2 linked regions of the Lonchura striata genome follow. The protein of the gene in region 2 purifies or fractionates together with the protein of the main gene of each other region. This does not show direct contact. Links are inferred from orthologs where the notes say so. Each region holds a gene or a part of one and is shown on either strand. Other genes may lie near its edges. The genes, in order: NPTN and ATP2B4.

Region 1 (14,429 bases), on a different chromosome or scaffold from region 2:
GGGATTCACAACCTAAAGCTGTAATTGCACAATGAACCCCAATATGCAAATGGAGCAGAACTCAGAGAAGTGAGACACCTCAGGACCAGTTTTCCCTTTTTGGGACCATTTTGGTTCACCTTGGCTGCAGCCCTGGCTGGGCTCTGGTGCTGCCCAAGGTGGATTCACTGAGGAGATCCTTTTAATAAATCCCTGCTTCATTCCTGACCTCAGTCTGGTCTCTGCTCTAGCTCAGCCTTCCCAAGGCATCACTGGCTCAGTCCTGAGCGTGCTGGGAGGAAATTTGGGAATGATCCTCCTGGCCAGACCAGACCAAAACCAAGCTGCCAACCTTTATTTTAGGGATTTTCTAGTGCTGTGACCATCCAGCAGCTCCCACCACCTGCAGGGATTTCACCAGCCAGCAGACAGAGCAGCTGCCCTCTGCTTCGGAGCTGCTTTCAAACCCCTCCAGCACCGTTTAATTCCCCCCAGGCAGCTCCAAAGGACAGCGATTCAAACCCCATTTGCAGCAGCTTTTCCCAACAAAATCACCCCCGGAGGGCTGAGCTGCTGCACACTCCGGTTTAAAAATGCTCCTCCGAGCATCTGTTTTTTTGCAAACTCCCGCTGTCCGCCCTCACGGAATTCTTGCAGGCTGCACTGCCAAAAAAAAAACTTCCCTGGGCACTTCAATCCATCCCTCAGCATTCCCAAAATGTTCCCGGCCAGTTCTACCAAGCAATTCCGTGTGCTCCCAGCTGAGGTTTTGGGGTAATTATATTTTTTCCAGGTCGTGATATTCCCCCTTCCTCTCGTTTTCCTATTCTAGCAACACAAATGCTGTAACTTCCTTATTTTTTTTTTTTATAAATAAAGTGTTATTTTAGGTTTCCAAACCAGTGGAAGATCCTTGTGAGTACCCCCAAAATGTGAGGAGCTACACCTGTCACTGCTGTGGATTTTAAAACGTGGAATGCAAAACTATAGGAATTTGAGCAAAAAAACCTTTTTTTTCTTATTTATTCAAACCAGAACAGGACATTTTGATCTATTTTCCTCTAGAAAAATGTCTCACAGTGCACATCTCCAACACACAAAAAAATAAAAACCACCCAAAAAAAACCCAAACAAACACCAAAAAAAAAAAAAAAAACTGCAAGCAGCACCAGGAACCAAACAAATATTTAACCTCAAGTGAGAATAAATGACCGTGAAAATAAAATCACAGGTAATTATTATTATTTGAATGATTGAATATTGGATTTGATGGAGCTTTGTCATGTTTTAACAGCCAAGCTCCCTCCTCCAGCTTTACACAAGTCAGGATTTGTATTTTGGAATTAACTGGGAAAAAGTCACTATTTATTCCCAAATATTCCTGTTTTGAGGAGTTTGAACACAAAAAGCCCATGCCCAAGCATCCAAAGGATCAGACTCTGAAATCCCACAGCAGCCAGCCCAATTCCAGCCTCCAGAAAGAAGAATTCTGCTGGGAAACTTTTAAAAAATGGAAAAAAGGGTTTAGGGTGAGCAGAGCCAAGCTGTGAGGGCTCCCTGTGCTTTGCTGCACCTCCTGCTTTAACCAAAACCAAACTTTAGAGGAACGTGGCCACAGGAATTGTCCTGCTTTAGAGAAAAATCCCCCCGAAAATAAAATCTCACTACTGGAGGCAAGTGCAGCACGTGTGTGAATTTCGGGAGCTGCAATAACTGCAATGAAAATCAAAAAATGAAATAAAATCCATGATCTAGAGGGTGACAAAGCCACCTTGGGCAGGGCTGGGGACATAAAGCAGGACCTGGGAGAGCAGAGGAGCAGGGGAGATCCTGCCTGGAGGAGGAGGAGGAGCAGAAGAGAGCTCTGAGCGTTCTCCTCGCTGCTCAGCCCACACTCAGCCTCCAAAAATGCTCACATTTATCTGGGCACCAGGAAAAGGCACAGCAGAGCTCAGGTGCTGAGGCTCAGCAGGCACAAACAAGGATAAAAGCAAAGTTTTTCACTGGTTCCTTCAAGAAGAAATTCATTTTTCAGAATTCAGGGTGAGCTTAGATGATTTTCCTCATTTATTGCTGGTTTCTGCCAACAGAAAATCCATATTCTGGTTTTAGCCAGTTAGTTCCTTCTCCATCCATGCAGAGGATGAACTAAATAAGAACCACCTGAATTAATTTGGTTTTATTTGCCCTCATGCCCAGCTCAGAACAACCCAAGCAATTTTATGGTGAAGAATTCTCTGTGCTTTAGCTTGCTCCCACTCCAACCCTTGTGTTGCTGTGCTAAAAAACCACTGCAGATTTCCCAGATTGGAGCAGCCCCAGCAGCAATTTTAGACAATAAAATAACCTTTAAATCCACTCTGGGGTGGAATTATCACTGCACTGAAGCCTTTGGTTTTCCAGCTGCTTGTTTGGAAATCAAGATATTTCAAAGGTGAAACAATGATGGAAAAGTCATGTTTTCCTCTCCTCCTGCTTGGAAGCATTAAAGGGATTTTCCAACAGCTGCCCTGAGAAAGTGCAGGTTAAACACAGATATTCCTGACTGGCTTTTTCCAGCTCTTCCTCATCCTTCCCCATCTCTCCCCTGTGCCATCAGAACTCTGCTCTGGATGCAAGCCCTGAGCAGAAACTGAGCATTTTCCCAGCAGAATATGCAGGAAAAGTTCAACTCCTGCCACATTTCCCTAAGATCTCAAGGTGTTTATGCAAAGCTTTCAAAATAAAGCTGCCAGAAAAATAAAACCCTCAAAATAAAATCCTTCCAAACTAAAAACTTTCAAAGCAAAACCCTCCTCCCGGTTTTAGCAAGCTTAAATCCATAGGTGAGCCTGACTCCAAATGTTCCGGATTGGATTAAGTTGGAAAAATTACTGGGAATTCAACAGATCTGCTGTCAGAGGTGGGGAAAAAAGCTTTTTTTTTTTTTTTTCCCCGCAAACTCTCAGCATTGCAGCGGGGATTTTCTGCTGCAGGTGAGCTCCAACAGCTCCGTGGCCATTCCTCCACCACCCTGCCTTGGACTTTTCACCTTCCATCACTCTGCTGGTTGCACATCAATAAAAGATAAGGAATTGCTGCCCTCTGGGATCCTCCCCTGCCCCTCACAGCACACACCCAGAGGTGAGAAGCGTTTTCAAAGGAGATCTGAAGGAACAGCCACAATTCAGGAAACGCTGGACCTGTTCTCCACCCAAAGAGGAATTGTTCTGTTGCAGGAAGCTCCCCACAGGTCATTATTTGCTGAAAAAAACCCAGCTCCTCTGCAGCAGGGCCTTTTTACATTAAAACTGGGGCAGCAATAAACCTTAAGTCACAAAGACCTCAACCTTGCACCTGGCTTGGGCTGCTCCAACCCTTCCCAAGCAGATTTTCACTCACCTGTGTGAGCTCCCAGAGCAATACAGAAACTCTCCCTCACCACTTGATTAAAAATAACAATTATTCAGCTTCCAGGACACAGCAGTGCGCTGCAATCCCCCCTCACGCCAAGATCCTTTGCCCCTTTGCAGCTCTCCCCAAAATTCACTTTATCGCTGGCCTCCAGACCCCTAAGTGCTGCCAAACAAATGTTTGCAGTGTCCCGCAGCCACTCGGGATTGTCATCCCAGCTGCCGGCACTTGACACCTTCCTTTCCCGGAACACGCGACCCATTTCCATTTAACTCCTTCCCTCCCCAGGCTGGAATTTTTCTGGGAACTGAGCGGTGCTACAGAACCAAATTTAATCCACAAATCCATCCCCCTTCCCGCATCCCTGAATCCCACACGGCTCCAGGGTTTGCCCAGACTGCCTCACTCTGCACAGCCTCCAGGTTTCACTCCCAGGGCCAAACTCGGGTTAACAGAGACACGAGGCTCGCTGCTGGCTTCAAAATCCGCACGTGCTCAGGGAATAACTCTCACCTGCGATCTTTAGGACACTATTTTTCCCATCTAGATATCACTGAAAAACACCCTGAGAGGCTCAGTGCTGGCCAAGTGGAAGATGTCCCTGTCCCTGCCAGGTGGGATGGGCTCTAAGGTCCCTTCCAGCCCAAACCAGGCTGGGACATTCCAGCTCCGAGGATTCCAGGCTTCCCCCGGCGCAAAGAGCCAAGGACCTCACCAGCCGGAAAACTCTAGAGCTGAATATTATCAGCAGAGCAGAAAGGAAGGCGAGAGAAAGGAGGACCAAATGGTGAAACTAGCGTGGAATTGGCGTGTGAGAGAGGCAGCCCTTCCTCCTGGGCAGGTTTTCCCAGCGGCTCCTCCTGCCAGCCCAGCTCCCTGCCGGCTCCCCAGGCCCGAGCAGCGCTGACCATGATGCTGCAGTGGGAGCAGCCCCATCCCCTTGGAGCACCTCCATCCCCCCGGAAGCACCTCCATCTCCCCGGGAGCACCTCCATCCCCCCGGAGCACCTCCATCCCCCCGGGAGCAGCACCTCCATCCCACCGGGAGCACCTCCATCTCCCCGGGAGCACCTCCATCCCCCCGGGAGCACCTCCATCCCCCCGGAAGCACCTCCATCTCCCCGGGAGCACCTCCATCCCCCCGGGAGCACCTCCATCCCCCCGGGAGCAGCACCTCCATCCCCCCGGGAGCACCTCCATCCCCCCGGGAGCACCTCCATCCCCCCCGGAGCACCTCCATCCCCCCGGGAGCACCTCCATCCCCCCGGGAGCAGCAGCTCCATCTCCCCGGGAGCAGCAGCTCCATCTCCCCGGGAGCAGCACCTCCATCTCCCCGGGAGCAGCACCTCCATCCCCCCGGGAGCAGCACCTCCATCCCCCCGGGAGCAGCACCTCCATCCCCCCGGGAGCACCTCCATCCCCCCGGGAGCAGCACCTCCATCTCCCCGGGAGCAGCACCTCCATCTCCCCGGGAGCAGCACCTCCATCCCCCCGGGAGCAGCACCTCCATCCCCCCGGGAGCAGCACCTCCATCCCCCCGGGAGCAGCACCTCCATCCCCCCGGGAGCACCTCCATCTCCCCGGGAGCACCTCCATCTCCCCGGGAGCAGCTCCATCCCCCCGGGAGCACCTCCATCCCCCCGGGAGCAGCACCTCCATCTCCCCGGGAGCAGCACCTCCATCCCCCCGGGAGCACCTCCATCCCCCCGGGAGCAGCACCTCCATCTCCCCGGGACCACCTCCATCCCCCCGGAGCACCTCCATCCACCCGGGAGCACCTCCATCCCCCCGGGAGCAGCACCTCCATCTCCCCGGGAGCAGCTCCATCCCCCCCGGGAGCACCTCCATCCCCCCGGGAGCAGCACCTCCATCCCACCGGGAGCACCTCCATCTCCCCGGGAGCACCTCCATCCCCTCCGGAGCACCTCCATCTCCCCGGGAGCACCTCCATCTCCCCGGAGCACCTCCATCTCCCCGGGAGCACCTCCATCTCCCCGGGAGCACCTCCATCTCCCCGGGAGCAGCAGCTCCATCCCCCCGGGACCACCTCCACCTCCCGAGAGTAGCTCCATCCCCGGGAGCACAGAGGCATTTTCCCCGGCGCTGCGGGATTTCCCTGGAGCAGGAGGCTCGGCTGGAGCAGCCTCTTGGCCCCGCTCCGCTCTGCCACTAATTGTCATGCACTTGGCTGCGAACTCGCCGGGGAGGAGGCAGCCGCGCTGGATTTAGCTCACGCTAGCCTACAAGGAACGGAGAAGGCTCGGGGTGTGGTGGGTTGGTTGTTTCTTTTTTTTTTTTTTCTTTTTTCTTTCCCCTTAATTCCTTCTTTTACTCTCCTATCAGAAGGACCTCTCCAGTTGCTAAGGAACTACGGGCTTTATTGCATTATAAATGATTTAAGGCGGCCCGGCAGATGCGGGTTCAGTAGGCGGGAGGAGATGAGGAGATGTTCCATTTTACCGGCGGCACGAGGCGCCCCAGGAGGAACCGGGGGGGGGGCCCGAGCCTGTCCCCCCCACACTTTTCTCCTCCTTCCCCCTTCCCCTGAGGGACCCCAAATCTCCAGCGATTCCCCCCAAACCCGGGGTCGCCCCCCACCCGCGGGGCTGCCCACAGCACACCCGCCGCCATAGCAACGCGGCCCCCCCCGCCGCCGCCGCCGCCCTCGCTCACCGTTCTGCGCCGCGGCCGGGCCCGGCAGCAGCGCGGCCGTCGCCAGCAGCAGCGAGAAGGCGGCGGGGAGCGGCCCGGAGCGCGGCATCTTCCCGAGGCAGGGGCAGGAGGAGGGAGGCGAGGCGCTGAGGCGGCGGCGGCTCCGTCCGTCCTTCTCCGCCGACCTCCTACCGCAGCGCCGCCGCTCTCGCGAGACCGCCGGGGCGGGGGGCGGCACCGCCGGGGTGCCGGCGCCCGCCCCTCGCCGCCATGTTGGCCCCGTTCGGCCCGGCCCGTGCCGCGGCTTCTCTGCTGCTTGCCGAGCTTCCGAGCTGGCGGCGCGGCAGGGGCGCCCGGGCGGCGGGGAGTTGCCACTTCTCCCCTTCTGCCGTGCCCTCAGGGGCGCCATGGCGGAGGCTGCCTGAGGCAGCTTTCCTTGAGCGCAATGGCGGAGCCCGCCTGAGGGAACCGTCCCTTCAGATTTACCATGGAGGAGCCCGCCTGAGGGAACCGTCCCTTCAGGGTCTCCATGGCAGAGCCCGCCTGAGGGAACCGTCCCTTCAGGGTCTCCATGGCGGAGCCCGCCTGAGGGAACCGTCCCTTCAGATTTACCATGGCGGAGCCCGCTTGAGGGAACCGTCCCTTCAGATTTACCATGGAGGAGCCCGCCTGAATGAACCGTCCCTTCAGGGTCTCCATGGCAGAGCCCGCCTGAAGGAAACGTCCCTTCAGATTTACCATGGCGGAGCCCGCCTGAATGAACCGTCCCTTCAGGGTCTCCATGGCGGAGCCCGCCTGAGGGAACCGTCCCCTCAGGGCAGCATGGTGCAGCCCCTGCTCTGGACACCATGGCAGAGCCCGCCTGAGGGATCCATCCCCTCAGACACCATGGCAGAGCCCGCCTGAGGGATCCATCCCCTCAGACACCATGGCAGAGCCCGCCTGAGGGATCCATCCCCTCAGAGCTGCCATGGCAGAGCCCGCCTGAGGGATCCATCCCCTCAGACACCATGGCAGAGCCCGCCTGAGGGATCCATCCCCTCAGAGCTGCCATGGCAGAGCCCGCCTGAGGGATCCATCCCCTCAGACACCATGGCAGAGCCCGCCTGAGGGATCCATCCCCTCAGGGATGCCATGGCAGAGCCCGCCTGAGGGATCCATCCCCTCAGACATGCCATGGCAGAGCCCGCCTGAGGGATCCATCCCCTCAGGGACGCCATGGCAGAACCCGCCTGAGGGATCCATCCCCTCAGGGACGCCATGGCAGAGCCCGCCTGAGGGATCCATCATCCCCTCAGACACCATGGCAGAGCCCGCCTGAGGGATCCATCATCCCCTCAGACACCATGGCAGAGCTTGCCTGAGGGATCCATCCCCTCAGAGCCGCCATGGCAGAGCCCGCCTGAGGGATCCATCATCCCCTCAGACACCATGGCAGAGCCCGCCTGAGGGATCCATCCCCTCAGAGCCGCCATGGCAGAGCCCGCCTGAGGGATCCATCATCCCCTCAGACACCATGGCAGAGCCCGCCTGAGGGATCCATCCCCTCAGAGCCGCCATGGCAGAGCCCGCCTGAGGGATCCATCCCCTCAGGGATGCCATGGCAGAGCCGGCCTGAGGGATCCATCATCCCCTCAGACACCATGGCAGAGCCGGCCTGAGGGATCCATCCCCTCAGGGATGCCATGGCAGAGCCCGCCTGAGGGATCCATCCCCTCAGACACCATGGCAGAGCCCGCCTGAGGGATCCATCCCCTCAGAGCTGCCATGGCAGAGCCCGCCTGAAGGATCCATCCCCTCAGAGCTGCCATGGCAGAGCCCTCCTGAGGGATCCATCCCCTCAGGGACGCCATGGCAGAGCTTGCCTGAGGGATCCATCCCCTCAGAGCCGCCATGGCAGAGCCCGCCTGAAGGATCCATCCCCTCAGGGACGCCATGGCAGAGCTTGCCTGAGGGATCCATCCCCTCAGGGATGCCATGGCAGAGCCCGCCTGAGGGATCCATCCCCTCAGACACCATGGCAGAGCCCTCCTGAGGGATCCATCCCGTCAGAGCTGCCATGGTGGAACCCCTCTGGCTGGGATATGCAAAGCACCACACTCCTCCTCACTTCTGTTCTTCATGGGTTTAAAACACTGGTGAGTACAAGGTAAGAGCTGGTATTTGGCTCTGTTCATTCTCACTCAGGAGTTTCTGTGCCGTTCTGCAAGGGTCACAGTGTGTCAGAGGAACCCAATTCCACCCCAAATTGCTCAGCTTAAGGTCCACGCACCCACAAAACACCGATATAATTTTAAACACCATTCCATCCATCACTTCTATGCTTCCATACAAAAGATTTTTCAAGGGATGTGTCATTTTTGCACGAGTAGGAAACAAACGCTGCGTGAAGCAAAGGTGTAATTCCATGTTAGCCGTGGAGTTGTGGGCAAAGAGCACAAAATCTCACTCCTGGATGACTGGACAAGCCAGGCACGCTGGAAATCAGCTGTTGGTGAGCTCTGGGTGGCTTTTCTCTATTTTTCTGTCATAAATCACAGATGCCAGGTCAGATTTGCTGCTTGCTTTTGCTTTGTTCTGTGCCCTTAAGCCCAGCTGATGGTGGGGAGATATGAGGCTTGTAGGAGATCGTGGGACAGACCAGCAGAGAAGGAGACTGGGGGAAAAACCAGCAGAAAATCCTCAGGATCAGATTTTCAGCTTTCTGCAGAGCCCTGTGTCACCAGCATGCCCAGAGTGGGGTGGGCTGGGAAATTATGGGTGGTGACAGCCCAAACTGTCCTGGTTTCTTGACTTTGTCTCCCTCCTCCTTCACCCTGCCCAGGTCTGTCTCAGCTGCCCATCAGCAAACACACTTCTCATGCTTTTATCGCTGCTGTGACTCACTGAAAGCAAGGACCAGGCACACTTTTCACATGAAAACTCTGCTGAAATCCCTGCCTGAGCGCTTCAGGACTTGGCTGAGGGCGGCAGGGGCGAGGTCACACGTGAGGAGCAGCAGTTTTTTGGTGCTCCACGTCATCCCGGCTCCCCCTGGCTCCCCAGGGATGCCAGCTTCCATGTGCTCAGAGATTCCACTGCGCTGGAGAATTTCCACGGTGCGTTTCCATGACTCACTGTTGGTGCCAGCTGATTCATCTGTGTGACACTACCCTGCTTTTTCTCACCGTGGCTCTTTTGTTCCCCTCTGTGTGGAACAACCCTGAGAGCCAGAAATGCAGTTTTATCCAGCACTGCCCCTCGTGCTGCTCTTTGCCTGTGGGAATCCAGAGCATCCCTCTGGCTGCCCTGCCTGCCCTGGGACCGTGGCAGGGGTCAGGAACCCCCCTGGACAGAGCCCCCAGAGACACTGGCTGTGATCTCTGGCCATGGAAAAGAGTTTTCAATCTTACAGCATGAATTACAAGCTCTGAGTGTTTGATAGAAGGAATAATTAAGTGTGGCACGGGTGCAAAAGTAGAATTTTAGGATTCTAGATGAGGGGTCCAAAGGGGACAAGATGGAGGAAATTTGGTGTGCCTTGTCCTTTTTCTCCTTCTTCATGCCCTCCATGTCTCACTGTGGTGTTGGCATTTTTCTGTTGGTTCAGGCTGGGGACACACTGTCCAACGTAGGTGACAGATATTGGCACGTTATTGTAAATGCAGCCCAGGGAGTTTCTGGTATTTAATGTTTGTAACATCCCACTGAGGGCAGAGCCCCACACGCTGCCCTGCAGGACAGAGCTGGGCAGGGCAGCAGAACATGTGAGAGATCAACAGAATAAACAACCTGGAAACCAGCACAGACCAATTATGGCTTCTGCTTTGGCAGCGGGGCTGACAGACAGAGACTTTTTGCAATCTCAGAATCATCAATACCTCAGATTCCAACATTTGCCCGCCGTTTTCCCAGGATTTCGCTGTAACTCTGCTCCTTGCAGACTCCCACTCGCTATTAGGCCTCACCTCCAGTGCTGTTTTCCAAGTTTGGAAGGAGTGAGCAGCGCTGGGAGCAGGCTCTGGAACTGCTCAGCAATCCTTGCTCCGTAACCATGGCAGCTCAGGGTGACTCACGCTGCCACAGGCCCCAGCCCAACTTAGCAGGAGGAATTTTTTCCCCTCCTCTCTCACCAGCTCAGAGTTTCTCTCCGCAGTTGCATAACTCAGCTGTCACTTGTGTTCCTCTTGTGAAAAACGCCAGTCACTTGGTTTTTAAAATTTTCAAAGTTTAATAGTAATAAAATGGTTATAAAAATAATAATACAATTCGAGTAATAAAGCTCTCGGACACTGAGTCACAAAAAGCATCCCTTGTGAGCAAAGGAATCACCCCTGAAACAATACACTTGTTGCATATTCATATATCCTTCATGATTATGCATACATTTTATTTAAAACAAGAAACTCTGCTGTATGTCAGCTGTTTCATTTAATCCCCTGGCGTGTCTTGAGTCTGAGCAAGGCCTGAAGAAATTAGTTTCTTCTGATAAGAAGTCATAAATTCCTCTCCTTTGGAAGATTTAGGTGTTCCTCGAAGCGAGTATCTCATTCCTAAAAAAAAAACTTCCCCCACATACACAGTCCCTACTTTAACATTATGTTGGAACCTGAAACTATATTTAACACACTACTTAAGAGAATTAATACAGCATAACTTTCTAACATGACACATATAATACTCATTGTAATATTTGCGAAAAGCCAATCATAAAATATGTATTTTTCACACTCTGCTTCTGCCCTGGGGACAAGCCCTGCTGGCAGCTGGAGCATCCCTGGAAGGTTTCTCCGCTGGAGAACGAAGCTGATCCATGGATTTGTGATCATCCAGCACAAGAAACCAGAGCAGGAGGTCCCCATGGCCAGGAGATGTCCTCATGGGTCTGATCCCAAGTCTTCTGGAGCACAGATCCCTAAAATTTATAACAAAGCACTCACTCAGGTATCCAGCCATATCAACGGTGGCCAAAAAACCCTCTTCTTGTTCCGTGGATGAGGAATCCTCTTACACCTGGAGTTCTGCAGGAAAAGGGGATTGTCCAGCCTTAGATCCAGCACGGCGCCTCAGTGGTGAAGAAAACCCTGGGATTCCAGCAGATGGAGTCTGAGCAGGGTGATGTGTTTGCCTGGTGATTCCTGGCCTCAGGAATGCCAGGGTAAACTCAGGTATGGCAAAGTTTCCCAATCCCTTGCCTTTTCTCTTCAATCAAGACCCGTATTTTCACCTGGAGGGGGTCTCAGTTTTGATTATTCTCTGCTTTTTCCTTCAGAATGAGAAAGACAGAAAATCTTGAAAGCGAGGTAAGTAAAGAGGAAGCAAAAAACACCCTGTAGTCAGCAGGAAATTCAGGAGAGTTTCAGTTCTCAGAGAGCAGCACAGAGGCATCCTCCTTATTTTGTGGGGGAATTTGGAGCTTGTCTTCTTGCAGCTGCGAGCGTTTGAGAGATCCCTGTTATTTTGATGTGTTTAGTGATGTGTTTTGGCACTTGAAAGCTTTCACAGGATGGAAAGGGTTTCATGGATCATCCCATTCCACCCCCTGCCATGGGCAGGGCTGCTCCAAGCCCCGTTAAGCCTGGCCTGGGACACTTCCAGGGATCCAGGAGCAGCCACAGCTGCTTGGGAATTCTGTCCCCCACCATCACAGGGAAGAATTTCTCTGCTCTCCTCACATGGACTCACCTTCTTTTGAATGTGTTCAGGGCCAGGGCAGAGCAGGAAACAGAGTCCAGCACAAACCCCCTCTTTTCCAGCTGCTCTCAGGGCTGAGAAACCCTGGATAACATCAGATAATGCTCCCACGGGGCCGCTTGCCAGGAAAACAGCGATCCCAAAAGGTACCTGCGACCTGATTCGTGGCTATTCATCTCCCCAGAGGCACCGTGGCAGCCGGAGAACGACATGAACCTCGTGAGATAACATCGGGGTGAGGCTCCGCGGAGGCCTCCTTCACACCCTGCTGCACAGGTGAGCCCTTCAGTTCTCCTCCTAAACAGCCAGGGAAAAATGAAACGGAACAAAACCCCCGTGCTCTGAGAAATGAGAGAAGGGAGAGCTTGTAAAATCACACAGGGACGTGCTCTGAGGGAAAGGAGTCAAAGGCAAAGCTGCTAAAAAAACCCCAAATTCCCCCCCCCCCCCCCCCCGAAAAAAAAAACCACACACACAAAAAAAACCCCAACAACATTAAAGATCTCAAGGTAGTAATAAAAAACCAACCAAACAAAAAACCCCAAAAAACACAAACAAACAAAACCAAAACCATCTAGATGTCCAGAAAGCTGAGTTGCCACTTCCCAGTCCCGCGGGGAGCGGCAGCTGGGTTGGGTTCTCCCCCTCCTGCCACGCTCCCAGAAATGGCTTTCCGTGCAAAACGAGCCGAGGGTGATTTGGGGCAGCCTGGTTTGGAACGCACGCACGGAGTCAGCAATCTCAGCAGGGCCGACATCAGCTGTTACCACAGACAGCTGGAGTTCGCCTGACCTTATTTTCTGCAGGGAAGGAGCAAGAGGGACACAAATCAAACTGCTTTCCCTCCTCCCTCCTCTCTGACCCAGCCCGAAATTATTTGTCTCTATTGAAGGCAAATTCTTCACACTGTAACGTTTTTCTCCACCCAATTTTTAGGGAATGGAGTTCAATAACTCAGTCATTCCCTGACCTCATTACCCTGAGGGAAGGCATAATTTTTGTTGGGAGCAGCTCCTCCCAGCCACGGGCGGCTTTGCTACACCCCAGCTTGTCCCTGAATGCCAGTGAGGATCTCCGGGAAGGCACAGCGGGGTAAACTTGGAACATCTGGAGGAATCTTCAGGATGTGGCTGATCCGGCAGGTGGCACCCCTGGATTAGCACAGGGCTGGCTCCAGCCAGGCTGGGCACTGCCTGCAGCTGGGCTCCTCCCCAAAACCAGCAGGGATTTGGGCTCTTGTGGTGGCTGCAGGGACAGCCCCGTGTCCTGCGGGGACACTCGGGCTGCTCCCGTGGCATCTTAGTGGCCTGGGGTGTGGCTTGGGGCACGGGGTGTCCTTGTGGGGCAGCAAGGAGGAAAAAGGAGAAAGGAAAAAGGTAAAAGGAAAAAGGAAAGGAACAATGCTGTGGCTGGCAAGAAAGGAGAGCAGCCAGAATTCCCCACATGCTGCACAAGATAGGCTGGAAATACCAATCCTCCATAGCTCAAGATCAATCCCAGCAGGGGCACCTGGGGCTGGACAGAGCCAGGAGGTCCCTGGGCACCTCCAGGGGCACAAACCAGACCTGAGCTCCTGGGAAATCAATGCAGGCCAGGACTCAGATCCCCAGGGCCCAGAGGTGCAGGGACAGCTGGGGCTAAACTAGAGACCAGCAGGAGCCCAGAACAAGCCAGGAGCAGCACTGGGCTGAGCTTACAAGGGTTCCCACACCCGTGGGTGGGAGTGCCACCCCAGGTGGGCTGCCCAGGGCTTCAGTGGCCCAGGAGTTGTCACTGGGCACCAGTTTGCTCAGGAGGCAGCAGGGCTGGGGCCTCCCTGTTGGTTCCATCCAGGCCACCTCAACGAGCTGTTTTCCCTCAGGGATGTATTTGGAGATGCCACCCTGCTTGTCTGGGCACTTGGTTTGCTCAGCCTGGAGAAGGGGAAGCGGAGGGGGCACCTCCCTGTGCCACCCTCCTGAGGGGCAGTGGAGGGGCAGGGACCCGGCTCTTCACTGCCCTGACCCAGGACAGGCCCCAGGGAACGGCTGGAGCTGTGCCAGGGAGGGTCAGGTGGGAGATTCTTCCCCAGAGGGTGCTGGGCACTGCCCAGGCTGCCCAGGGAATGAGCACAGCCCCGAGGCTGTGGGACAGGCTGGGATTGTTGGGGTGCCCAGGGCTGGTTTGGGGCTTGGGGACAGCTCCATGCCCCAGTCATCAGTCTGTGCAGGGCCAGGGCTTGGGCTGATGATCCCTTCCATCAGCCCGTTCTGTGATTCCGTGATTCCCTCGTGGCTCATGGCTCTGGTCCCACACAGTGTGGGGTCACTGTGGGGTGCCCAGGGCTGGTTTGGGGACAGGGGACAGTGCTCTGCCCCAGCTGTCGATGGGATCAGTGCTGTCATTGCCACCCCTGAGCACCAGGATCCCCTCCTGGCTCCTGTGCCACACAATGCCTGTCCCTAAGGGTCACTCTGGGGTGCCCAGGGCTGGTTTGGGGACAGGGGACAGCTCCGTGTCCCAGCCATCGATGGGATCAGTGCTGTCATTGCCACCCCTGAGCACCAGGATCCCCTCCTGGCTCCTGTGCCACACGGTGCCTGTCCCTAAGGGTCATCCTGGGATATCCAGGGCTGGTTTGGGGACAGGGGACAGCTCCGTGTCCCAGCCATCGATGGGTTCGGTGCTGTCATTGCCATCCCTGAGCACCAGGATCCCCTCCTGGCTCCTGTCCCGCATGGTGTGTGTCCCTA
Region 2 (14,543 bases):
CGGCTGAGCGAGGGGTGTCGAAGGGACACTAAAGCTCCAGCTGCTGCTGCAGGGTCCTTAATTAGCATCTCGAGAAACGGCGCCGAAAAATCAGACACCTACCGCCCGAAATCCGAGCCCGGAGCTGAAAATCCGATCGCCGACCCCGATGCTCAAAGAGCAAAGGTCACTTCCAGCCCCACGCCAGCCCCGCCACCACCCCACGGTCCCCGCGGTGCCCGGATTCACCCCCTGCCCACCGCCACCCCCTCGCAGAGGCAGCACGGCGAGGGCCAGCGGCTTATTTTTAGCCTGGAGAAGGCAGGAGCGGCCATCCCGACTCTTGTCCTTGGCGTGGGACACGCCGCTGTCCCCCCCCGGGCCACCCGCACCCCGCTGCCCCCCGGCTCTGCAGCGCTGCGTCCCCCCGGGGCTGGGCTGCATCACCTCCTCGGGCAGGAGCAGGAGGATGCTGGGCTCAGCCCTGGAGCCGCGGCACACGGAGCGGGGATTATTTACAGCTCCTTAACGGAGCGAGGCAGGGCTGACCTTTGCGAGCCGCAGACAAAAGAGGAGATGTCGGGAATCGCTGCTGCGGGACCCGGCCCGGCGCGGAGGGATGGCAGAGCCACGCTGGGGAGAGTGGGGGGGGTTCGGCAGAGGGGAACCGGCCACGCAGAGCCGAGCTCCGGCGCTGGGATCCCAGCCTGGGAAAGGAGGGATCGGATTCCTCCCTCCCCGGCCCCGCCGGACAAACTCTTCCGGGTGGGGACTCCTACGCGCCGGGCTCTGCCCAGGCACGGCTCGCTGCTCCTTCCCGCAGCAGCCACGGGGGCACGGGATGGGAAAACCGGGACTGCTCCTCGCCCCCGGCAACGCGCTCGGCTCAGCCCAGCTGCCGACTCATCCCTGCCGGGGAAGCGTGGAAGGAAAAGTTTCCCCGTCAGCACAAAGCGCGGACACTTGGCCGGAGCTTCCCCTCGGCCGGTGCTGCCCCGGCCGGGAGCTCCCCACGCTGGGACACGCCAGGGCTCGGCCACGGGTGGCCGCAGTGGGTGGGGGTGGCAAGGGACAGGCCCGGGGTGGCACTGCGGTGGCACTGCGGTGGCACTGGGGTGGCACACAGCCCCTGGTGCCGCAGGGAAGGGAAGGATTCCCGAGGCCGGCAGCTCTCCCATTGGCACTGGGCTAAGGATGATCGATCCCGTCCCATGATGGACGATCGATCCCACGATGGATGATCGATCCCACAATGGATGATCGATCCCGTCCCATGATGGACAATTGATCCCACAATGGATGATCAATTCCATCCCATCCCACAATGGATGATCGATCCCATCTCATGATGGACGATCAATCCCACAATGGATGATCGATCCCGTCCCATGATGGACGATCGATCCCACGATGGATGATCCATCCCATCCCATCCCATCCCACAATGGATGATCAATCCCACAATGGATGATGGATCCCGCGATGGACGATCAATCCCACAATGGATGATCGATCCCGTCCCATGATGGACAATTGATCCCACAATGGATGATCAATCCCATCCCATCCCACAATGGATGATCGATCCCACAATGGACGATCGATCCCACGATGGATGATCCATCCCATCCCATCCCATCCCACAATGGATGATCAATCCCACAATGGATGATGGATCCCACGATGGACGATCAATCCCACAATGGATGATCGATTCCATCCCATGATGGACAATTGATCCCACAATGGATGATCAATCCCACAATGGATGATCGATCCCATCCCATTCCATGATGGACAATCAATCCCACGATGGACAATCGATCCCACAATGGATGGTCGATCCCATCCCATGATGGACGATAGATCCCGCAATGGATGATCAATCCCACAATGGATGATCGATCCCATCCTATCCCATGATGGACAATCGATCCCGCGATGGACGATCGATCCCACAATGGATGATCGATCCCATCCCATGATGGACAACCAATCCCACAATGGACAATCAATCCCACAATGGATAATCGATCCCATCCCATGATGGACCATCGATCCCACAATGGATGATCGATCCCATCCCATGATTGATCCCATGATCAATCCCACGATGGACGATTGATCCCACGTCCCTTCCCTCGCCCTGAAGCTGCAGGATTTGGGCAGAGGGTTGCTGGTGTCACCGCTGTGTGTTCCCTCCCCAGCCCACACTTCTTGGTCCATATTTAGGTCCCCATGTAAGACTTGATGCCATGATCCAGAAATCCCAGGAGAACTCCACCAGGGTCCCCATGTCCCTTGTCACCAGCCCAGGCTGGTGGGACATGGGGACCCTGGTGGAGTTCTGCACCCTGGAGGGAGCAGGGCCAGCCCCAAAAGGGAATCCCAAAATCCCAAAATTCCCGGGACCTCGCTGTGCATCAGCTTCCCACGTTCCAATCTGAGACCCCTCCCAGAAGCTCACAAACGCAGGAGGACTCTGAACTCAGCTCTTACTCACAGAGAGTTCTCCCAGGATTTAAGGTGCTTAATTAGCGGTTTCAAAGAGTCACCAGCGGGCTGGGTGACACCCCAGCGGGTGTCATGCACTCCACAGGGCTCCAAGCTTCCCTCCTGTCCCTACCCAGCCTTACCTTGTGGCTTTTTTCCCTTTTCCTAACGATCCAGCAGAGGGGCAGGGTTTATAAGTCCATAGAAACTCTATTATCCCCGTGCATTAAAGCCAAAAGCAACTAATTAAAACATCAAAGTCACAGGGTTCATTAGCTCAGCCTCAGCGCTGGTAGGAGGTGACAGGGATTGTGGCTGTCACCCGACTGCTCCCAGCGATCCCTGCACCCCAAAACACATTCCCTGTCCCAGTGTCACTGGGAAAACCAGTGGCTTCCACTGGAAAACCGCTGGGCTGGGCAGGATCCCGTCACCTGCCTGTCCCTGTCCCCCAGCTGGTCACCTCTGCCTGCACCAGTGTGGAGAGGAGGGAGGTTGGGGACAGCTCTGCCACCTCTGCCATCAAAGCTCCTTCCCACAGGAGCATCTCCAGCCCCATCACCACCTATCGGATCCCTATTCCCCCCAGCACAACACAGGGGGACAGGGATGGGTTCAAATTCCCAGCTCTGCACACCAGAGCCCCTCCGGCGTGCCAGAACAGCCATTCCTTACTGGGAATGCTGCAGCATCCCTGGATCCAGGAGTTTCCAGCCAGCCACAGGAGACAGGGGACACCAGGGAAGTGGCACCGCCTGTGCTGCAGTGGCCACTTCCCACCTAAGGGCCTGCATCCATCAGCGTGGTCACACCGAGATCTGGTCACTTCCACTGCTATGGTCACCTCAGTGACCATTGGTCAGTTCCCACTGCCATGGTCACACTGAGCACTGGTCACTGCCATGGTCACACCAAGCACTGGTCACTTCCACTGCCATGGTCACCTCACAGTGACCACTGGTCAGCTCCCACTGTCATGGTCACACCGAGCACTGGTCACTTCCTACTGCCATGGTCACCTCCCACCGAGCAGTGGTCACTTCCACCACCATGGTCACTCCCACTGCCATGGTCACAGTGACCACCGGTCACTTCCACTGCCATGGTCACACCGAGCACTGGTCACTGCCATGGTCACACCGAGCACTGGTCACCTCCCACCTAAGGGCCTGCATCCCACTGTTGTGGTCACACTGACCATCGGTCACTTCCCAAAGGACCTGCACCCATTCCCACACCCACACTGACCATCGGTCACTTCCCAAAAGATCTGCATCCCATTTCCACGGCCACACTGACCATGGGTCACTTCCCAAAAGATCCGCACCCCATTTCCATGGCCACACTGACCATGGGTCACTTCCCAAAAGATCTGCACCCCATTTCCACGGCCACACTGACCATCGGTCACTTCCCAAAGGACCCGCACCCATTCCCACACCCACACTGACCATCGGTCACTTCCCAAAAGATCTGCATCCCATTTCCACGGCCACACTGACCATGGGTCACTTCCCAAAAGATTTGCACCCCATTTCCATGGCCACACTGACCATGGGTCAATTCCCAAAAGATCTGCACCCCATTTCCACGGCCACACTGACCATGGGTCACTTCCCAAAAGATCTGCACCCCATTTCCATGGCCACACTGACCATCGGTCACTTCCCAAAGGACCTGCACCCATTCCCACACCCACACTGACCATCGGTCACTTCCCAAAAGATCTGCATCCCATTTCCACACCCACACTGACCATCGGTCACTTCCCAGAGCCACACCGTGTCTCCCCGCCGGGTCTCGCTGTCCCTGCCCGGGCTCTCCCGGACCCAGCGGGATGCCCGGGCTCTCCCCGCAGGTTTTCCGGCTCCTTTCCCAGCAGGGCGCAGCCGTGCCCGGCGGGGAGGAGCCCTGGGCGAGGAGGAAGCCGGAGCTGCCAGCCCAGCCCGGCCCAGCCCTCGGCCGGGCCGTGCTCGGGGAGCAGCAGCAGCGAGCGGGTGGCGGCTGCGAGTCCCCCCCGGCACCGCAGAGATTTGGGTCCCCAAATTCCCCGCAGGCTCCAACCCTGCGGGAAAACTCCGCTCGTGGCCTAGCAGGGAGGAGAAACAGGAATAGAAAAAAAAAAAAAAAACTAGAAGAAAACACATAACCCGAGAGAGGAGCGGGGAACGCGCGGGGAACGCGCGGCCCCGGCGAGGGGCGGCGGGGAAGGAGCGGGCTCGCCTCGCAGGGCTTGGGGACAAGGGGAAACTCCAGGCTCAGCTCCACCCCGGAGCTTTCGACTGCTAAACAATAGTGGAGAGGAGCAGGCGTCCCTCCCTGCTGCTCTTACTCATCCTGCCCAAGGAGCCGTGCCACCCTTGGGCTGCCCCCGCCCTGCCCGGGGGCTCGGGCGCGGCGGCTCCCGGCTCCGGAGGCGCAAGGCTGGGGTGACAGCGGCAGATTCCCCCGGGAAGAGATGCGGACCCACGGCACGCGAGCGGCGAGCCGGCAGCGCAGGGAATTCCCTCCGTCATCATCGCCAGCGGAAAAAAAAAAAAAAATACAAAAAAAAAAAAAAAAAAAAGGAAGGAGAAAAGAAACCAACACCCAACAACAGAATGCGCCCTCTCAAACCTCTCTACCTGCAGCACTTCTCAGCGCTTTTCCAGCCGGGAAGGAGCCGGGGTAGGTAGGACGGGGAGCGGCAGCCACGGCCCCGCCGGCGGCCAGGGCGGGCCGGGGCCGGAGCCCGCGGGGAACGCGCGGTGCCGGGGCCGGAACGGGGAAGCGCTGCCTCCTCCCAGCTCCAGCCGCACCATCCCGGCACCGGCACCTTCCCCGTGCCGCGGCCATCCGCCAGCCCAGGCGATGCAGCCGGGCCTCGGGCACTCACAATTTGGCCTCCAAGCCCACCCAGCGCCCACCTTTGAGGAAGGGTCCTCCGCCGCTCCGATCCGAAGGGCACCTCCAGCCCCCCCGAGCCGCCAGCCTGGCCGCACGGAGGGGTCCGGGCGGTCACCCGAGGGGGCAGCCGGGGAGGGAAGCCCAGGGCCGGCGAGGGATCCCCGGGGCGCGGCGGGGTGGGGCTGGCGGAGCGCGGGGGCGTCAGCCTCGCTCGCTCATGATTGAATAATTTAGGTGCGTTTCAGTGCTCGGAAAAGCGAAAGATTGAGGGCAATGTCTGGAGGCAGGCAGGGCGCAGGCAGCGGTGCAGCCCCTGCCTTGCCCACGCAGCCCAAGGGGTTTGGGATGGGGGGCTCACCTCGGGGGTCCCCCGGCCCCAGGACGGCTCTGGGTGCCCCATGGCGAGCTCCGAGCACTCACCTCCACCCCGGCTCGCTGCCCTCGGCTCCTGCCCGTCCACCCACGTCCGGGGCTGCCAGTCCACGGCCACGGGCAGAAACTGGCTGCACTGGTTTGGGCTTCGCAATGCAAACCCCCACCCAAGCTCAGGTCTCCAGAGATAAGAGCACAATAACCTATTGTCCCTCCTCCCCTCCCAACATCTCCACTCGCCTCTGGCGAAGCGGGGAGGGACCACCCAGCTCCGCACAGCCCCCCCCGCCCCCGCCGCCGGCAGCCCACGGGGGACACGGACCCACCGAGCCAGGCCAGGGATGCTGGGAGGCTCCGGAGCCGGGCTGGGATGCAGCGAGAGCGCTGGGGACAGAGGCAGGAGGAGGCGGACGAGGCCAGAGCCTGGCCGAGCTTGCAATAGATTTCCTGATTTATTTTTTAATTTATTTTCCGCCTCCCCACTCCTGTTTTCTCTGCTGTGGCTCTGCCCAGCTGGATTGGTGCAGGCAGGAGGGAGACGTGCCCAGCCGTGGCGTGGGCAAACCCCCCCTCCCCTCCCACGCACCTCCCCACCGCATCCCACCCTCCCCACGCGCCCCCCACCCGAGTCACCCCACTCCAGGCAGGGAGCAGCCCCCTTTGCTGCCCCACGCGTGGGGGAAAAAAACCACCCCAAACCCACCCACGCAGCACCTTCCCCGCTCTGTCCTTGGGCTGCCGCAAGCCCCCCTCCCCTTCCCCCGCCTCTTCCTTCCTCCATCATCCTCATCCTCCTCCTCCCCGCAATGCCACAACCCGCTGCCTCCCAAAAAATCCAGCAACACGCGCGACCGGGAACCCCGCACCGTCCTCCCCCCCGCACACACACAGCCACCTCAAGGGCGGGCAACAAGTTGTAGGATCCGACCGGAGCATCCTCCCCACCCCAAAACCCGGGGGGCTGCCGGAGTTACCCCCCCCACGAGAAATTTGGGGGCTGCACTCCCCGCAGCCGCCCACGCCCCGGAGCGGCCGGACCGCGGTCACCCCACCACCCCACCCTTCTCCCACGTGGGATTGGGGTCTGGGGGGGGGTCCCACACCGACCCCCCCGTGATGTAGAACCCACGGCGAGCCCCCCCATCCCACCTGCTGCACCGGGACGGAGCGGGGCGGTGAAACCCCCGCTGCCAGCGCCCCACCGCCCCCACGGCGGGGGCGGCGATGCTCCCACCCCCGGCCCCGACACAGACCCCCGCTCCGCAGCCACCCCACGCCACTCCCGTGCGTCCCCCCGCCGTGTCCCCAACACCTCAAACCCCCCGCGGGACCCCCGTACCCCCAAGCTCTCGGGGTCGTGTCCCCCCCACCCCTTGCACTCACCGGCTCCGGTCCCACGGCGCCCGGCTGGCGGCGGAGCCCCCGCGACTGGCCATGGGCTGGAGGGGGAGCGGTCCCGGAGCTAACGGGAGAAAATGCTTGTCATGGCAACCCCCCGTGCCGTGCGGGGCCGTGCGGGGCCGGGCCGGCGAGGGAGGGGACGGCGGGCAGGGAGGGGGAGGGCTCGTCCCAGCCCGCCGGGGGAGGGGCTCCCTTAAGGTGGCTGCACGCCCCGACGGCCGCTTAAGGGGGACGGCGACAGGAACGGGGTGAAGGGACCAGCGAGGGGGGGACAGCGGCGTGGGGGACCCCGAACATGGCAGGAGCCCACGGGCAGAGCGGGGGGTGCACGGCTGGAAAGGGTGGGGGCACCCCCGGGTAATATCGGGGACCCCCAAGCACGGTGGGGACACGCTGGTCAGGGTGGCAGATGCACCCCCAGAAAGAGGGGAGACTCCCCCGGGCAATGTGGGGACACCCCCGGGTAATATCGGGGTCCCCAAGCAGGGTGGGGACACGCTGGACAGGGTGGCAGATGCACCCCCAGAAAGAGGGGAGACTCCCCCGGGCAATGTGGGGACCCCCCCGGGTAATATCGGGGTCCCCAAGCAGGGTGGGGACACCCCCAGGTAATGTGGGGACCCCCCGAGCAATGTGAGGACCCCAATGGGCAATGTGGGGACCCCCAGGTGCCACCCCAGGTACCCCCAAGCAGTGTGGGGACCTCCCCGGACAATGTGGGGACACCCCCGGGTAATATCGGGGTCCCCAAGCAGGGTGGGGACACCCCCAGGTAATACGGGGTTCCCCAGGCAGGGTGGGGACACGCTGGACAAGGCAGTGGGTGCACCCCCAAAAGGGTGGGGACACCACTGGGAAATTTGGGCACACTCCCTGGGCGATGTGGGGACACCCCTGGGAAGAGTTGGGGACACCCCGGGGCGATATGGGGGTCCCCAAGCAGGGTGGGGACACGCTGGGCAGGGAGGCAGATGCACCCCCGGGAAGAGTGGGGACACCCCTGGGCAATGTGGGGACCCCACCCTGAAAGCAGATTGGAGTGTGCACCCCCAAAACCTGTGGGGACCCCCCAGGGCAGTGTGGGCACCCCAAAAACCGCTGGCACCCTCATGCCCAGCCCCCTCCCCACTCCGGCCGTGGAGGTGGCAGAAGGAATTCTGTGACCTGGGACAAAATTGGGGTTTTTTGGGGGGTTTTAGCACTTTTGGGGTGGCTCTGACCCACCCTGTCCCCTCATAGGCAGCACAAATTTGGGGGTGCTGACACCTTGAGATCCAGCACGCCCAACCCCCCCACCCCAAATCCCACCCTCGCCCCTTTTCCTAAAGGAACCCGGATAAAATTCCCCATGGAAGGATTCCATGCAGGGCTTCGAGGGGGTTCCAAAAATCCCCTCCCAAATCCCAGTTTGGGCTCCAGCTGTTCCAGTTTAACCAGTGCAACACCCCTGCGGCCACAGCCCCTCATTAGCCCTCGTTAATTAGCCCCTCATTAGCTATCCCAAGAGGTTTGGGCCTGCACCTCGGGAATTCCACATTGCCAGCCCTGGGAATTCATTTCCACCCCATTTTCCAGCAGAATTCCTCCCTCAGCTCTCCGGGATGGACCTTCTCGCCCAGCCCAGCCGATCCAGGGGATTTTTTTGGAGCTGGGAATGTTTTTTTGGAGTCACCCGAGCGACATCAGAGCTGCCCGGGTTGGATTTCATTCCATCTCCGCATCCTTTGGAGCACGACTGTGAAAAATGCAGATTTTGTGATTGGCTTTTCGCAAATGGCACGAAGAATATTATGTGTGTAATGTTAGAAAGTGATGCTGTGCTAATTCTCTTCGGTAGTGTGTTAAATGTACTTTTAGGTTACAACTTAATGTTAAAATATAGACTATGTATGTGGGGGAAGTTGTTTTTTTATTTTTTTAGGAATGAGATACTCGCTTCAAGGAACACCAAAATCTTCTAAAAGAGAAGAATTTATGGCTTCTTATCAGAATAAGCTTAATTTCTTCAGGCCTTGCTCAGATCGAAGACGCCCAGGGATTAAAGGAAACAACTGACATACAACAGACAGAGTTTGTTTTAAATAAAATATATGCATAACCATGAAGGATATATGAATATGCAACAAGTGGATTGGTTTAAGGATGATTCTTTTGTTCACAAGTCATGCTTTTCATGACTTAAAGCACCCAAACATCCATAATTCTTTGCTTTGTATTGTCTTGTATTGTCCTAACTCTAAACTTTATTCCTCTAATTGTATTATTATTTTTATAACCATTTTATTATTATCGAACTTTTAAAATTTTAAAAAAAACAAGTGATTGGGCATTGTTCGCAACCACCTTTGGGAAGAGGAAAATGCCCTGGGTTTGGAATTCCTCCTCAATTGCTCCTTGGGAGTTTCCAGGGTTATTCCTACTGAAAATAAAACATATATATAAATTTATTTATTTATTTATTATGTATATATGTATATATGTATATATGTATATATGTATATATGTATATATGTATATATTTCTAGATTTATAGGTTTATAGATTTATAGCTTTATAGATAATAAAATATAAAATATTTCAGGGCTGGGCATTCTCATGACAAAGACTCAAAAACCAAACTCAGGCCCCTTTCACTCACTCCACGTTTGCCCGCCACACACAAAAAAATGGGAATAAACACAGGGATTTTTATTCCTCCACCAAAATCTGCCAGCCCTGAGCAGGCTGGTTCACAGAACAGCTTGGAAAAGAGGTGTTGGAGCAGCTGGCAGGCACGGCTTCCCATGCAGAGCTGCTATTGAGACATAATGGCCTTTTCCAACAGGTTCTGGGAGCTTGGAAGGAATCTCTGACCATCTGGATTTGGGCTCCTGGAAGGAAATCAGCCTTCCTGCCCCAGGGAAGCCGTGTGAGCAGGAATTTGCCGGGAATTTGCAGCATTGGGTTTGGGTTAAAAAGGGGAAAAACAGGTTTTCCACCCCAGGGTAGCGGCTGCGGGAGGGAGCAGCCAAAATCCCGAAATCCGTGTGGGGAAATGTGATTTTTGAGAGGCATGAACGGCCCCAGAGCTTCTTCCAGGCCACGTTTAAGGAGAAGAACATGGAGGAGAAGGAGCAGGAGCAGGAGTATCACCTCCAAGTCAGCACCGAGCTGTCCCCACGAGCTGCAGATGGGAAAAATTCCTTCACAGAATATTTTGGGACCCTCTGTGTTGGTCTCTGCTTCCCTCCTGCTCCACTCACCTGCTCCTCCCAGTGGCTTGGCCACCCCCGGGGAGGTGACAGAGGTGTCCCCACGCTGCTCGCACTGGGACAGGCTGGATTTGGGGTGGCACTGGGGACAGGATGGTATAGGCTGAAAGAAGAGACAGGCTGAATTTTGGGTGACAGGCTGGATTTGGGGTGACAGGCTGGATTTGGGGTAATGATGGGGACAGACAGATTTGGGGTGATGATGGTGACGGGCTGGTATAGGGTGACAGATGGGACAGGACGGATTTGGGGTGACAGCAGGGACAGGCTGGATTTGGGGTGAATTCCAGGGTGGATCCCTGGGTGGATCCCTGGGTGAATTCCCAGTTGGATTCCTGGGTGGATTCCTGGGTGTATTTCCAGATGGATTCCCAAGTGGATTCCCAAGTGGATTCCCAAGTGGATTCTTGTGTGGATTCCTGGGTGGATTCCCAAGTGAATTCCCAGATGAATTCCTGGGTGAATTCCCAGATGGATTCTTGGGTGGGTTTCTGGATGGATTCCCTGGTGGATTCTTGTGTGAATTCCTGGGTGGATTTCTGGATGGATTCCCTGGTGGATTCTTGTGTGAATTCCTGGGTGGATTTCTGGGTGGATTCCCAAGTGAATTCCTGGGTGGATTCCCAAGTGAATTCCCAGGTGAATCTCCAGTTGGATTCCTGGGTGGATTCCTGGGTGGATTCCTGGGTGGATTCCTGGGTGGATTCCTGGGTGGATTCCCAGGTGAATTCCTGGGTGGATTCCCAGGTGGATTCCTGGCTGGATTCCCGGGTGGATTCCCAGTGGATTTCTCTCATTCATTGCACCCAGCTCCTCTGGATCCCCACCACATCCCTGAGGCCTCTCCCTTCCCATTCCCTGGAAAATCAGCCAAACTCCCCCAGTGACCGGCAGCACCCAAATTCTCCACCAAGGACCTAAATCCCCATGGGAATCTCGGCTGTTTTCCTGATTTTTGCCACCTCTTTTCCTCCCCCAGCGCTTTTCTGGCTGCTCTGGAAGTGAAGCAGAGCAGTGGGCAGTGCCAGGCCTTGAGGCAGCACCAAGGTAAAATAAATAACCCCAAAATAGAAAACTTCTCCCCCAGGCTCTTCCCTAAAAAAAAAAAAAAAAACCCAAAATAATAATAATAAAAAAAAAATCCACCTTCCCTGATGATTTCCCTTTAAACCCAGCCTCTAATATTTGGATTAATTTGCTTTTAATGCCTCCCAGGCTGGGAACTTGTAGGTGGAGTTTTTGAGCCTGAAAAATGAATTAAATCAGCCGAGTTGTATCAGCCAAGTTACAAACCCATCAAAACCCGGGGCCAGATCCTGATCTCATCCCCGGAGGGGGCGGACGGGGTAAATCCAGCGCTGCTGGAATACGCGGGGAAGGATTTTGGGAAGGATTTTGGGCAGGATTTTGTCACGGAGCTCCGGATTGGATCCCCCCCCCACTCCCCGCGGGTTTCTCATGGAAACACTGAGTGACTTTTGGAGCACAAGGCAGAGTCAGGCGTCTGTAAAATCTCTCTCCATTCAAGGGCTAAATATAGGGAGAGCAGCGATGTGCTCGGGGATAAATAAACCCTGGAGAGGCTCTGCCGGGAATGCCGGGGGTCCTGGAGGCACCACGGAGCTGGAGATGCTCCCACAGCTGATGAAAAGCGGATTTAAGAGATTTTTTTCCTGCTTTTTCTCCCTCTTTTCCCTCTGCCTGCTCACCCCTGAGCTGCAGCACCCCGAGGTGCCTGGTCAAGGTTTGGATTCTTGCCTGGAATTTGGGATGCCCATGGAAAATGTCCCATGGCATCCACACCAATTCGCTGCTCACTCCAAGGTCTTTGGAGACCCCCCTCCCAAAAAAAAAAAAAATTCCCGCAGCCACGGAAGTGCTAATTACCCATCACTTCACTAATGAACCTTTCCTAGCCTATTCCTCCTCCCAATCACTCCAACAGCCCCATTAATTCCTAATTAAGCAGCTCCTTCATTAGGGAAAAGGGCCTTGACAGGAGAGGCCAGAGGAGGAATTTGGGGATTGGGAGGGATTTTTTGCTTTATGGCCGTAATTAGCAGATGAAATTATTTGCTCACCTACAGAATTGATCACCAGAGTGCCTGGGAGCCTTTCCCTTCCCCATCCCTGCGCGTTCCCGGTTGGAAGCACGGCGGGATTTAAATTTGTTTATTAAATGTGGGAATCCAGGGCATCCCTCTGCTTCCAGGGTAGCCAGAGGGATGCCCTGGATTCCCATCATTAAACCCCCAAAATTTGTGAATTTGAGGCTCAGGAGGAGCCTCTGGGCTGCTCCTTCCCAAGCATCCCTGCTGGGGATGAGGGGAATTCCGGGCTGCTGGATCCGTGCTTTTCCATGGATGATGAAATAGAATAAAATTTAACAAGGTAAAAAAATCTATTTAGATCTAAGTCAAGTATACTACACAGCTTACTAACACGAGTAAAATCTCCTGCTTAGTCTGTTAACTATACTGTGCTTGTAAAACTGTCCCAGCTAAAGTAAAAAAATGTGATTTCTAAGGTGAAGAGATAAGAGGAGCACCTTAAACTCTAAAACTAAGAAAATAAAAGTCTGCAAGAATAACCAAAGAGATTAAAGAGTTCTCTATACAAAGGGCCAACTATAAATTGCAACTCAAAATTAACAAAATAACTATGCATAAAATCATATAATCATATTATAATCATATGCATTATAATCATGACAATCATATACTGCATCATATAATGCATATAATCATATTATAAGATTCTATGTATATATAAATTAGTGCAGAATAATAAAAGAAATTTTTGTGCGTGCCCTTTGAAGGGGATCCCTGCGGGAGGGGAAATCCCAGCGTTAAAAAAATGAAAAGTTACCGTTCCCTACAAATCTTTATTAAAATTGTGACATTTTGATTTTTCATCTGGCGAGCTAGCCAGGAGATTTTCTGTCCTCGCAGGGGCAGAAAACTGTCGGAATCCGAGGTATTGATGATTCTGAGATTGTAGAAAATTTTGGGGGGTTTTTCTGCCCCGCTGCCAAAGCAGAAGCCATAATTGGTCTGTGCTGGTTTCCAGGTTGTTTATTCTGTTTATCTCTCACATGTTCTGCTGCCCTGCCCAGCTCTGTCCTGCAGGGCAGCGTGTGGGGCTCTGCCCTCAGTGGGATGTTACAAACATTAAATACCAGAAACTCCCTGGGCTGGATTTACAAGAACGTGCCAATATCTGTCACCTACGTTGGACAGTGTGTCCCCAGCCTGAACCAACAGAAAAATGCCAACACCACAATGAGACATGGAGGGCATGAAGAAGGAGAAAAAGGACAAGGCACACCCAATTTCCTCCAGCTTGTCCCCTTTGGACCCCTCATCTAGAATCCTAAAATTTTACTTTTGCACCCGTGCCACACTTAATTATTACTTATATCAAACACTCAGAGCTGGTAATTGATCCTGTGAGATTGAAAACTCTTTTCCATGGCCAGAGATCACAGCCAGTGTCTCTGGGGGCTCTGTCCAGGGGGGTTCCTGACCCCTGCCAGGGTCCCAGGTCAGCCAGAGGGAAGCTCTGCATTCCCACAGAAAACACCTGCAGGGAAAATCCCCACCGAGATCCCGAAATGAACATTTTTTTTTTTCCCCCTCCAGTTCCGACCTCGTTTCATTCCTGCCATCGAGGAGGAACCTCGTGCGTGGTGTTTGCAGCGCGGTAACAGCTCGGGGACCTTGGTGGGCCCCAGGAAAGTCCCCGCTGCTGGCGGTGACAGCGCGGTGGGTGGTGCTGAAAGCGAGGGGTGCCAAGTGACAGCTCGGGGACAGGGAGATGAAAGCTCTGCCCGTCACTCCCGAGCTGTCAGCCACGAGCTGGAGAGGCGGAGGAGCTCCCGAGCCCCACTTTGGGGCTATTTTGGGGTCGTCCTTCCCTCCAGGGATGCGGGGAGAAAGGGTTGGGAGAGCTGGAGATGCCCTCGGTGCCACCTGGGTCACGGACCGTGGAGGAGAAATGCGACAGCCAAAGAAGGGATGACCCCAACAATGCCACTTTTGTCACCTTCACTAAGTTGTGTGGTCGGGAACGGCTTTTCCAAAATCTCAAGGTGCTCCCAAAATGGGAAATCTGGAGGCTGGACCAGCGGTGAAAACCCCAAAGCCACACGGAGCCTCCGGA

Evidence for each region.
Region 1: the proteins of ATP2B4 (region 2) and NPTN purify together in Homo sapiens (co-immunoprecipitation; 3 studies listed by BioGRID and IntAct, with this or other methods). This does not show direct contact. The link is inferred for Lonchura striata from reciprocal best matches to the Homo sapiens genes ATP2B4 and NPTN.

Annotation. Positions count from the first base shown.
Region 1 is NC_134613.1:6,368,604-6,383,032, reverse strand, and holds the start of NPTN (neuroplastin), read right to left. Parts: upstream 6,241-14,429; 5' UTR 6,134-6,240; coding exon 6,046-6,133; intron 1-6,045. UniProt on the Homo sapiens protein: Probable homophilic and heterophilic cell adhesion molecule involved in long term potentiation at hippocampal excitatory synapses through activation of p38MAPK. May also regulate neurite outgrowth by activating the FGFR1 signaling pathway.
Region 2 is NC_134632.1:2,833,250-2,847,792, forward strand, and holds the start of ATP2B4 (plasma membrane calcium-transporting ATPase 4), read right to left. Parts: upstream 7,263-14,543; 5' UTR 7,114-7,262; intron 1-7,113. UniProt on the Homo sapiens protein: Calcium/calmodulin-regulated and magnesium-dependent enzyme that catalyzes the hydrolysis of ATP coupled with the transport of calcium out of the cell. By regulating sperm cell calcium homeostasis, may play a role in sperm motility.